2 linked regions of the Arabidopsis thaliana genome follow. The protein of the gene in region 1 purifies or fractionates together with the protein of each later gene. This does not show direct contact. Each region holds a gene or a part of one and is shown on either strand. Other genes may lie near its edges.

Region 1 (5,907 bases):
ACTCAAGGAGAAACCAGTGGACAAGCTGGTGTTGTCCATCCTTAAATATATAATATTAGCTTAATTATCAATAAACACATGGGATTAAAATCTCTTTTGATTGTTTTTTGTTGTAAGGGTATGATTTTAAGGATCATGATCATATCCTCTTTGTTGTTTTTAAGATTTCTTCTGATCCCTTGTAGAAGAAACCAATCTTTCTTTTGAGTTTGTTTATTTTTATTGCATTTTTGCTTTCATTTAAATTGACTTCAAAATAATTATAAAAAGATTAACGACAGCCACAAAAATAGAGACCAATCAGAGAAAAGCACGAAACAGAGTGTGCTAAAAACAGAGAAAGCGAAAAAGATAAGCCATTTAGACAAATTTCTTCTAACAATGTATATCAAGGTTACGAAATCAAGGATATCACACTGCTGAAAATGCATCTTCTGACTCTAAACCATACACAAACTCTGACTCATTGATTTATCATGTTCAAAACGACCTGAGCTCTGTGAAAGATTTGATGGCTGATCTAGGTGACCCTATGGCTAAGAATAGAGCACGAAAGAACTAAGTAATCCCTGAAATTCCTAATTTCGTGAAGTCCAGAAAATCAACACGAAATCTCTACCCGTTCAGCTCAATTTCTGAATCTCAAGCTTACTTTAAGATTAGAACCCTAAATCAATCATATGATACTCACTATCTTAATCAAAATAAACACAAAGGAAGAGGCATGGTAAACACAATCAACCAAAGAAAGCCAAAACTACCAAAAGAGAGAGAAAGAGCCAAAAATAATAAACGAGAGAAACTAAGCAAAATTTCAGACAGCTAAAAATATAAAGAAGCATTTGCTGGTTATTATGGCTCTAATGGAAACACACTGTTGAAAAAGAATTGCACATGTCTTTTGTTTTCTTCCCCCAAAACACAACACCCTACACTCAGAACATATGTAATATGGAGAAACTGATGTATATAGTGTCATATATGATGTAATTAACGCACAAATGATGAAAGAACACGATTGCTAAAAATAAAATTGTCCAAAACTTTTTGAGTTTGTTATAAAACATAAAGGAGTTTGAGTTTACCTTAGAAGCTAACAACAAAACTTCACTCATCAACTTCTGCTTTGATTTCTCTTTGGAGATCTTCTTTGTACTCTTCAAATGTGCCTGGGAAGAAATTCACTGTTCCGTCTTCTACAACCCAAATTTGACTCTTCTCCTCTTCCGCACATACACGTGATATGAGTCTCGAGTCGTGACTCACCAACACAACTCCACCTGTGAACTCATCTAGTGCATCCGCCAAGGCATCTATACTCTGCATGTCTAAGTGATTTGTAGGCTCGTCCAGAAGCAAAATGTGTGGTTTTGACATTGAGATCGAGGTGAACACAACCCTAGCCTTTTGTCCTCCAGACAATTTCGCAATTGGAGATAAGTGATTGTGACTTGGTAGCCCAAACTTGCCTAGCTTCGCTCGCACTGCCTCTTGCTTGCTAAATCCCTCTTGGTCAGGATGAAGACGAAGGAGATACTGAACCGGTGTTTCCCCCATTGTTAAAAGGTCAACAAAATGCTGAGAATACCTGCCAATCCTCAGCTTCTGGCTTCTTCTCATTTCACCCTCTGTTGGAACTAAATCTCCCGCAAGAAGATTTAATAGAGTGGACTTTCCTGCTCCGTTAGGCCCAACTATCGCAACCCGTGTCCCCATATCGATACCTACATCAACATTCGAGAGTCTGAAATCTGGCCTGTTGGGATAGCTGAAGCTAACCTCAATTAACTGCAGAAGAGGAGGAGTGAGCTCAGTTGGTTCTGGGAAGTGGAACACCACACTGTAATCTCTCCACTTCCTTGGAGCTTCTGGTGCTGGGCCTTCTTCATCCACTGTCTTGCCCTTTGACTTACTCTTGGATGCTTCTTTTGCAGCAGTAAACTTGGCCCTGTCCTTTACCTTCTCCTGTTGACCCCGGTTTCCAGTCCTCTTCGCTGCTTTCATCTGTTTGTCGTAGACATCAAATTTTTTGTTCATCTCCTTGCGACGCTGCTCATATCCGCTTTCAAAACCATCGAAATTACCACGGTAGAAGTGGAGATTTTGGTCATGGAGATGTATTATCTCCGTGCAGACTGTGTTGAGGAAGTCCCGGTCATGTGAAACAACAACTAGTGTCTTCTTCCAGCGACACAAATACTCCTCTAACCATAGAACAGCTCTCAGGTCAAGATGGTTAGTGGGTTCATCTAACAGCAAAAGGGTAGGTTGCACGAACAGAGCTCTAGCTAATGATATTCGCATCCTCCAGCCACCACTGAAGGACTGAGTCGCACGCACTTGCATATCTTTTGTGAAACCTAACCCCGCAAGAATTTTGGATGCCTGTGCTTCAGCAGCATCTGACCCTAAAATCTGCAGCCTGTCATACAGTTCAGCAAGCTTTTCTCCAGTATCATCATCATCCTCACCATCAACATTTTCTCCATCAGCTCCAGAAGACGACTTCTGCAGAGCTTCAGCCTCTTCCCGTAGCTTAACCAACTCTTCATTGGCAGAGACAACTGCATTCAGAGCACTCTTTTCATCACCAACCACCTCTTGCTCAACAAGAAGAACATCAATATTCTTTGGCACTGGAATCTTCCTCCAAGCTAAAAGCTTTAACAGTGTAGACTTTCCCATTCCGTTTGGCCCGATCAACCCATACCTTTTACCATGTGAAATCCTGACAGAAGCATTCTTCAAAAGCTCTTTACCTCGAGCAGATACAGAAAAAGATTCTATGGTAATATCCTTAACATTTGCATCAGCCATGTCGTCTCCTTCAAGCACTGAGGTCTTGCTTCCAATAACAACCGTGAATGCATCATGATCGTCCTTCATAGCCTCCCTCTTTGCCGACTCTGCAGCCTGAAGAGCTAATCTTTCTTTCGCCTCTCGCTTCTTTTGTTCCTTATCAGTCACAGATATCTCAAGGTGCCTTTGTTCACTCTTCAGCTTCCTCCTTGCTTCCTTCTGTCTCTCTTCCTCATCAGATTCACCGTCGTCTTCTTCATCAGAAGGAGGAAGATCTATGCCATCAGTGTAAGATGTAGATTTCGGAGCAGCCTTGGTTCTAGATGATGAGCCCTTCTTCGGTTTATCATCTTTCTGATCCATGCCTGCAAGCATAGCCGAGACTGACAATTTCTCTTTTTTAGAATCTTTCGAAGCATCTTTCCCACTTGGCTTCACCTTTGTGGTAGCAGCACTCTCGTCTGACTTCTTCTTACCCATTTAAAACTGTACCTGACATGAAACATCAATAAACAGCCAATAAGTTATCAAACGAATAATCATATATTATCTAGCAAGCTAATTCGAAAACTACCAAACTCAGGCCTCTGGTACTGGTAACAGAGCTCCAGAATTAGGGTTTTTCTACTTGACAATGGTGACAAAAAGCTCAAGCTCAAAACTTTATTGAAACCCAGTAAATAATTATTCATATAAACAAATCTGATGCATTCTCAAATCAATTTCGATTCTTTACCATCTAATCCGTTTCAAAAGAGGATAAATCAAAGAATTAGGATTTATTAGCAAATTAATAGACGAACCCTAAGAGGAATTCACTTTTCATAAAAGCACAACTATAAGCAAATGAAAACCTAAAACTGTTAAACGAGAGATATCGATCCGAATCTGATTAAAAAAAACAGAGGGAACTTCAATTCGGTACATATCTAAAACGAAATTCACCACAAGAATATCAAAGAGAAGAATATGAAACTCACCTAGTGAGAGAGATTGCGTAGATGAACGAGAGCGATAGAGAAAACGAACAAACGACGAAACGAAAAAAAAAAGGGGATTGAAGCAGACGGAGAGAAGAGAATCGCTTAGTTATTACTCAACTCCTTTCTAGTGTCTTATTGGGCCTCATTATGGGCTTATTACAGCTGAAATATTTGGGCCTTTTCTCTAATTTCCAAATTGAAGTAAAGCATTCAACTTATGAAAATAGTTAACATCATTTATTCTTGACATATATCATAATTCTGTTAATTAATTCAAAATCAAGGGTTCTATACACACATAGGTATGATCGAAATCCGAATTAATCAAATCATCCAAACAATAATAACATGCGCCACGAGGTTCCCTACCTCAGATATTCAGTATATGTTCTAAGTCATTCAATGAACAACATCAAGGTTCTTCTCCCTCAGATATTCGATATTTGTTTTAAGTCCTGTCTAGAGATGTTGTGGTGGGTAAAAAAGCCCAGCCCGACCTGAACCCAAAATAAATCCGCCCACCAAAAACCCAACTTTACAAAACCCAGATGGGTTTTTGATTTAGTGGGTAAAGCCCGAAAAAACCTGATTGTTCTGAGACTACCCGTGGGTACCCAACTTGGTTTTTGTCATTTTCTTAGAGTTTATTTTAACTGCTAATATACTATTATATGTATGTTGTATCTATAATTTGCTTATAAATATATTTTAAATTATATTTATTTTCTGTATTACATATATATTTGATGGGAAAAAGGTTGAATTGTGTTTTTAGCGGAAAAATGTTGAATCGCGTTTTTGGCGGAAAAATGTTGAATTGCGTTTTTGACCGGAAAATGTGAAATCCTTTTTGGCGGGAAAATGTTGAATGCCGTTTTTGGCGGGAAAATGTTAAATTGCGTTTTTAGCGGGAAAAGTGAAATTATTTTTGGTGGAAAATGTTGAATCGCGTTTTTGGCGGAAAAATGTTGAATTGCGTTTTGGCGGGAAAATATTGAATGTCGTTTTTGGCGGGAAAATGTTGAATTGCGTTTTGGCGGGAAAATATTGAATGTCGTTTTTGGCGGGAAAATGTTGAATTGCGTTTTGGCGGGAAAATGTTGATTGTCGTTTTTGGCGGAAAAATGTTGAATGTCTTTTTTAGCGGGAAAATATTGAATGTCTTTTTTGGCGGTAAATGTTAAATCGCGGTTTTGACGGAAAAATGTGAAATCTTTTTTGACGAGAAAATGTTGATTCACCTGAAAAAGGACTGAAAAAAACCCGTGGGTACCCATTACCCAATGAGGTAAACCCATATGGGTTTTATTTATTTGGGTACCCAGCCCATTTTAAACCTATGTTTTTTTTTCCAGAAAAAATAGATCTATGGGCTTAAAATTTTATGTGGGTTTTGGGTACCGAGTGGGTTTTAACCCATCATTAACATTTCTAGTCCTTTCAATGGGATTTAGAGTTTTTTTGGTTCTTGTGAATGCATCATATGTATTTATGTATTACTCATTAGGCCAAACGAGGCTGGAATTTGAGATGAAATCTTACCAAGAAATGGTTGTTAAGTAGCTGAGGCAGATCTCTGAGACCAATCAACAGCTGATCTGGTTACAGAACAAGATCACACAATACTGAAAGAGTATGGCTCTATGGAAATTATGAGTGAGAATCTGCGTAAAACTGCAGAGCATAATCGTGAGACCGAGAACAAAGATTCAACATGAACAGAACAGAGAAGAGGTAAGTTATTTCCGGAAAAAAAAAACATACAAACTTGACATTCTGTATTACCTAGATACCTACTGATACACATATTCAAAAATAAAACACAGAGTTTTCTAAGAATCAATCAAGCAGATACAGGATAAAAGAGGAGGGGAATTTGAGGCTTTGCAGCAGCAAGAACGTGCTAAGGTTGTTGAGCAGCCTATATGACTATTAGTCGCCATTGTAGTAAGTAAGACTGATCTAAGGAAGCATTACTCTTAACTTAATGTGACCACAACCTGTTCGTGACAATCTGTTAGATTGAAGACTTGTCAAAATCCCAATCATTCACATTTCATTGTTTAATCACAATAAGCTCTAATTATCATGACAAACATTTCTTTGTATTTTATGCCTCAAGTAG
Region 2 (6,076 bases), on another chromosome or scaffold:
ATCCATTTCAGCGAACCACGGTCCCTTAAATAGAAAGGTTAAGTGGCTCATTTCAAGAGCCTCCACGCCGAAGTTGTAGATGCGGTGGAGAACCATCAGGAAGCCTGGAAGCATCCCAATAACTGGCCAGTTTCGAAAAACCTGACCATGAGGTTTCTTGAAGTACATGTAATAGAAGAAGAAAAGGCAAATGATGGCTATGGCAACGTCAAGTAAGCTTACAGAAGCCATATGAGAGAGTTAGGAGCTTGGTTTACAGACACAATATGGTGGTGGTTCCTTTTGTGTGTTGAAGGAACTTGTTTATATAGAGTAAGATTATTACATATATAAATTAGCAACCAACAAAAAGAAAATTTATTAAAAAAGAAAGAAATTACCAATGCATTCATTCAACTGCTTTTCATATCTTAAGAATTAAGATTAGTGAAAGTGTTAAGCTGGTGAAGCTACTAACCACACAAATGGATGAGACAGAATTGGTGGAGGACTTGTAAAGAAGGGTCCATAATCTTACAATTTCAGACACTAAATGACAAACCAACTTTAAGAGGATAGACAAATCGAGAAGTGCATCAGAATTCACGGTCCCAGACACTGCAACGAAGGTCGTTGTAATAGTTTTCCAAATCTATTAATGTCATTAAATTTAATCAACAGTCCAAGTAACAACTAACTGTCAGAAATAATAACACCTCGACCTGGTCAGTGCAATGAAGGCCGTTTTAACAGTTTTTCTTTATTACATGAAGAAAAACTGAATCATATGTTTAGTAAATAAAATCCAAAAAAGTCTAGTTGCATACATAAAAACAAGGGAGGAGAAAATCTAGGCAAACCCATACTGGAGATAATAGGAGGTGTTCCGACAACATCAATCACATGCTTAATAGTATTATTGGAAGAAGACAAAAGTATCTAATAAGACATAAAAAAGGGTGTAGACACAGATTTCGTCTGGATATAATAATACAATTACAAAAGAAAGATAAAGCTGAGAAACCAAAAGAAATCCTGACCTTCCTATAGGAGATCTCATTATGGCTACTTTGGTTGGTCTCTTGACTGCTCTCCATTATCTGCAAAAATCATATCTTTTTAACGATCTGAACAACATCCTCGTCCTCAAGCTCGTGTTCCTGAAGTATAAAATACGATGTCGAGACAGCAATAGTTAGTTAGTCAGGGATATTGCAATATCGATTTACCAGATTAACTTTTGTTTGATTTGCTAGAAGAACTAACCTTTCCAACTCTTTGTGGCTTGTGTTTGGCACTTGAACCCCAAACCAGAGCGCTGTATCAGGAGATCATTAGTTAAGTATTCATGAGCGATGCTTTTGAGCAAGAACCATATAACAGAGAAAAGAAAAATGTTAAGGATTTTAATTACTTACTACTTGAATTGTTTAAGCATGTCTTTGTGAATCCGGATGCAGAAGTCCTCTACTGTTCTCTTCTTGGATGATAAGATTACGGGATCATCATAATCCGGATTCATTGCCTTTGGTTTTGTGTAGATTCGAGTTAGATCCAAGTATTCCCATATCTTGTCCAGAAGTCCATCAAGATTCCACTCCAGATGCGCACTGCAAGATAAATAAATTTATATCTTAATGGCAAAAGTAAACAAGTTTATCGCAAATCCTGCCGGTAATTTAACAACATTTACCTGACAGGACAGTAATGAGGAAGTTTGTCCAAAATTTCAAGTTCCTCAAGTGTGATTGAATCGATCTTGTTGACAGCATAGATACAGGGCATATAAATCCGACTGCCCTCGATGACATCAATGAGGTCATCAGCGGTTGCATCGTAGCGCAGGGTGATGTCAGCATTGTGCATCCTGTACTCACCGCAAATCGCCTTGACGGTGTCAAGGTCAAGGTGTGTGACAGCGACTGTAGAAGTTAGATTGATACCACCTTTGTCTTTTTTCCTAAATGTTAAATTTGGTGGCTCCTTGTTCAACCTACATAGCAACAGTCCATGATCGAGTCAGACTATCTACCAGAAACGATCAAATATACAGTGTATAAAGGTTGTTATATAAACAATCTATACCTTATTCCGAATCCTTCGAGCTCTTTTTCAATGAGACGCTTGTGAGTAATTGGTTTTATGGCATCAAGAACTATTAAGATGCAGTTGCATGTCCTAGCCGTACTTATAACCTGGAAATAGTAAAGTGTGAAAGATGATCAAAGAGGGTCAAAATATAAAATACTCAAGAGATTTAGACTCGACTTACCTGTCTTCCTCTACCTTTTCCATCTTTAGCACCCTCAATAATACCAGGAAGATCTAATAACTGCAAACACATAGAAGGGGACATAAAAAAGAGTATTAGCATCAGTGTCCAATGAATAATTACAGGTCGTTTCCTGACTTAAACTAAGTACCAAGAAGTCATTAAAAGATCAAGCAAGATACATGTTTAATATAGAAGTAAGACTCGAGAAAAGATAATTACAAGCTAGGACATGGCATATGTAGCCAAGGATTTCATTGTGTTTCAACAATTACCAAGACAGAGGAAACACTATCCAAGAATTATCATTTTTCCCCCACAAATAACAGATTAACACAGACGCATAGATGTAGATACCATACCTGGATTTTAGCTCCACGATATGTGATAACACCAGGAATGCATGTCAAAGTCGTGAACTCATAAGAAGCAACCTGAGAAAACATTGTGTATCACAGTATGTACCTTCAGAAAATTGAGTATCAGCCAAAATACAGTTCTAATTCCAAGATTTATGTTCATCTATCCAGGAAAAGACTAGCGCCGAACAGTCTTGCCTTATAAGTGATATTGCACAGGAAGTTGGTCAAAAAGTAACTAGAAATAGGATGCCATGGATACGTGGTAGGTTTCAAAATTCCAATTACAACAAGAGAAAGGAAGTTCAATATTCGTAACGATAACTACAAACCTCGGAAAATGTCCCAGTCAGCTTGTTTAATAGCGTAGATTTTCCAACCGAAGGAAATCCGACCAGTCCAACTCTAGAATCTCCACTTTTAGTCACATCAAAACCTTCTCCAGCACCACCACCGCCACCTTTGGTAGGCGGTGCAAGAAGGTCCCTCCGAAGCTTAGCAAGCTTGGCCTGCAAAATGGACCAGTGAAATATGACGAGAAGCTAATGGTGCAGGAATAAGTACCAAATTCTAAAATCAATACAGAATAATATATAATGCCTGCCTAGTAGTTGTTTGATCCAAGGAACTTCACAAGAGATCATGCCGTAAATAAAATATCTCAGCTTTGTGCTTATTCAATGATTTGGGAGTTCGTATAAAACATAAACGATTTCAACCAGAAGTTAAAATATTTCTTAATGAGCTTGCTTACTGGTTGGGATTTCATGATAGCTTTTATCAAGTATCAAAACAGATATAAACCAATCAACCAAATTTGCATTTGATAAGCAAAAACACCTCAACCAATCAACCTCACTCTCAAAGCTACAAAAAACGACCTAAAGAGGAGAAAAAATGTACCTTTAACAAACCCAGATGATGAGAAGTAGCTTTATTCTTCTGTGTTTTAGCCATCTGCCACATAAACAAAAAAAACCTCGTACTTGTGAGTCACCCAGATTGAAAAATCATTTCTTTGATTCAGAATAGATATTTCGGATTCACAGTTCTATGCATCCAAAATTGAAGAGAAGAGGTGAAGAATCAGAGAGGATTGAATAATTACCTCATCTTCAATTTCTTTGATCTTCTGCATAATAGTCGACATGGTTGCAGTCAAAGCACAGAGAGCTCACGGAGACAACGTCAAGGAAAAGAGGTTATACGCGAGTGAAAGGAAGAAGGACACCGGAATCTCTGATGCAGAGAAATTGACGACGACGGACGAGACAGAAGCAGAGGAATCCCGAGGGTTTTCGTTTCGTCCACCTGATTACGACAAAGGAGAAAAAACTAGAACAGAACTGTCTAGAATTCGGCCTGACCCAACAACATTTTAGGCCCATATATGTCCGATTTGGTTTTCCGGTTTAATAAAATTTACAACAGAATGAGAATTTAGTTTGGTTATATACAATAAACCCTGTTCTGAATTTTTGTTTTGTTTTGTTTTGAATTGGTGTTTTTCGGTTTTAGTTGATTTCAAAAACGGTTTAACTAAATTCAAATGAATCATGTACAACATACCATTCATGCATTCACCATTACAACTTCTCTCTCAACCCGGTTTTAGGAGATGATGAGAAGAAACTGAGAACTGAACCGGGGTTAATTTTTGAGTCTTCCTTCGGATTTGAACGGAACAGAATCGATTTTCCCTTGATTACAAAACTTAATAGCAACATCTTTGCTCTCCTGAGCTAGCTACCCCTTCAGCTTCTCGATATTAACCATGGCTTATTCTTTCTTCTTTGGCTCGCTTTTAAGCTTCATCTGCTGCATTGGTCTTTAACCAAATAGAGTCCATCACTCCAATAGAAAATGAGTTCTTGTATGGTAGTTATTAACTAACTCCTCTGATCTGCACAAGTAAGTCGTCTAACACTTCATAAATTTGATTAGCCTTGCAGTGAGATTTATCCTTAGACAAAAATATATGAACCTCCTTATTAATCCCAATCCAACTACGTCCAGGTTCTTTCACCACACCTTCAACCTTCATTCTTTCTCTCACCTTCTTAGCTTCAGTCCACATACCCTTGGACGCGTAAATATTAGAAAGCATAGTAAACGATCCACTGTCCTTGGGATCAGACAAAATAGCCATTTCAGCAGCATGTTCAGCTAACTCGACGTTACCGGCCTTTGCGCATCCACTCAGCAAGCTCCTCCATACTATAGCAGCTGGTTTTGTCGGCATTTTCTCAATTAACTCCCTTGCTTTGTTCAATCTACCAGCACGGCCTAAAAGAGATACCATACAAACATAGTGCTCAGTTTCAGGTTCAATTCCAAATCGAAGCATTAACTCAAATTGCTTAAGTCCATCTTCTACAAGACCAGCATGGCTACACGCTGATAGAACTCCAACAAAGGTGATGTAGTTAGGCTCTATTCCCTCACTCATCATTTTTTCAAGCATCTGAAGAGCCTTTTTGCCTTCTCCATGATTCGCATAAGATGAGATGACAGAATTCCAACAAACTACATCTCTTGAAGCTGCTGAATCAAAAGCCTTATGAGCGTCTTCGGGACTACCACATTTGGCGTACATATCTAGTAGAGCATTTGTAATATACGGATTACATTCCAAGCCTCTTTTCAGAAGCTGGCAATGGAACTCTTGACCCAATTGAACACTTGCTAGGTTGCCAGCTGCTGTAACCATGTTGGCAAACGTGAATTCGTCAGGTCTTTCTCTTGATAACTGTAATTCCAGAAACAGGTTGAGAGCTTCTTCGTTCTCTGATTGTTGAACATAACCTGCAAACATAGAATTCCAGATAACAAGATCTTTCACTTTCATTTCATCAAACACAAGCCTGGAATCCTTGAGGCAGTAGCAATTTGAGTAAACATCAATCAAAGCGCTTCCAGCAAATATATCTAAGTTTAACCCATATTTGAACATCAATCCATGGATTTGTTTACTCAGTCCCAAGCTTGTTAAAGAAGCAGATGCACGTAGAAGGCTAACAAAAGTCAATAGGCTAGGTCGAATCAATCTGAACCTCATGTCACGAAAGATGTTCAATGCTTCATGTAGTTCCCATTGTGTCCCAAGTCTCGAGTAACCTTCAATCATTGCATTGAATAAAACCACATCAGCAGCAGCGAAAATATCAAAAACTTTTCTGGCATCGGTCAAACAGTCACATTTCGCATACATGTCAATCAAGCTGTTAGTCACATAGCTATCATTGCCAAGATTGGCTTTGATAGTGTAAGCATGAACTTGTGTTCCAAATCCCAAAGCATGAAGTGAGGCACAAGATGTGAGTATGCTAGAGCAAGCATACATATCCGGCTTTAAACCAAACTTTGACATACTGGTAAACAATTCCATGGCTTCTTTATGAAGAGCGTTCTGCTTATAACCAGAGAGCAAAGTGGTCCACGAAATGATGTTTTTATTCGGCATTCC

Evidence for each region.
Region 2: the proteins of ABCF4 (region 1) and AT4G39520 fractionate together in Arabidopsis thaliana (co-fractionation; one large-scale study listed by BioGRID). This does not show direct contact.

Annotation. Positions count from the first base shown.
Region 1 is NC_003074.8:20,187,765-20,193,671, reverse strand, and holds ABCF4 (general control non-repressible 4), read right to left. Parts: upstream 3,879-5,907; 5' UTR 3,780-3,878; intron 3,292-3,779; 5' UTR 3,280-3,291; coding exon 1,108-3,279; 3' UTR 732-1,107; downstream 1-731. Other genes in the region: AT3G54550 (DNA-directed RNA polymerase subunit beta-beta protein, putative (DUF506)), read left to right, coding at 1-45.
Region 2 is NC_003075.7:18,370,241-18,376,316, forward strand, and holds AT4G39520 (GTP-binding protein-like protein), read right to left. Parts: upstream 4,000-6,076; 5' UTR 3,761-3,999; coding exon 3,719-3,760; intron 3,568-3,718; coding exon 3,514-3,567; intron 3,120-3,513; coding exon 2,943-3,119; intron 2,686-2,942; coding exon 2,614-2,685; intron 2,312-2,613; coding exon 2,252-2,311; intron 2,175-2,251; coding exon 2,065-2,174; intron 1,973-2,064; coding exon 1,673-1,972; intron 1,590-1,672; coding exon 1,398-1,589; intron 1,298-1,397; coding exon 1,246-1,297; intron 1,140-1,245; coding exon 1,089-1,139; 3' UTR 625-1,088; downstream 1-624. Other genes in the region: CYP96A12 (cytochrome P450, family 96, subfamily A, polypeptide 12), read right to left, coding at 1-231; AT4G39530 (Tetratricopeptide repeat (TPR)-like superfamily protein), read right to left, coding at 4,496-6,076. UniProt on the Arabidopsis thaliana protein: Binds GDP and GTP, and has low GTPase activity in vitro.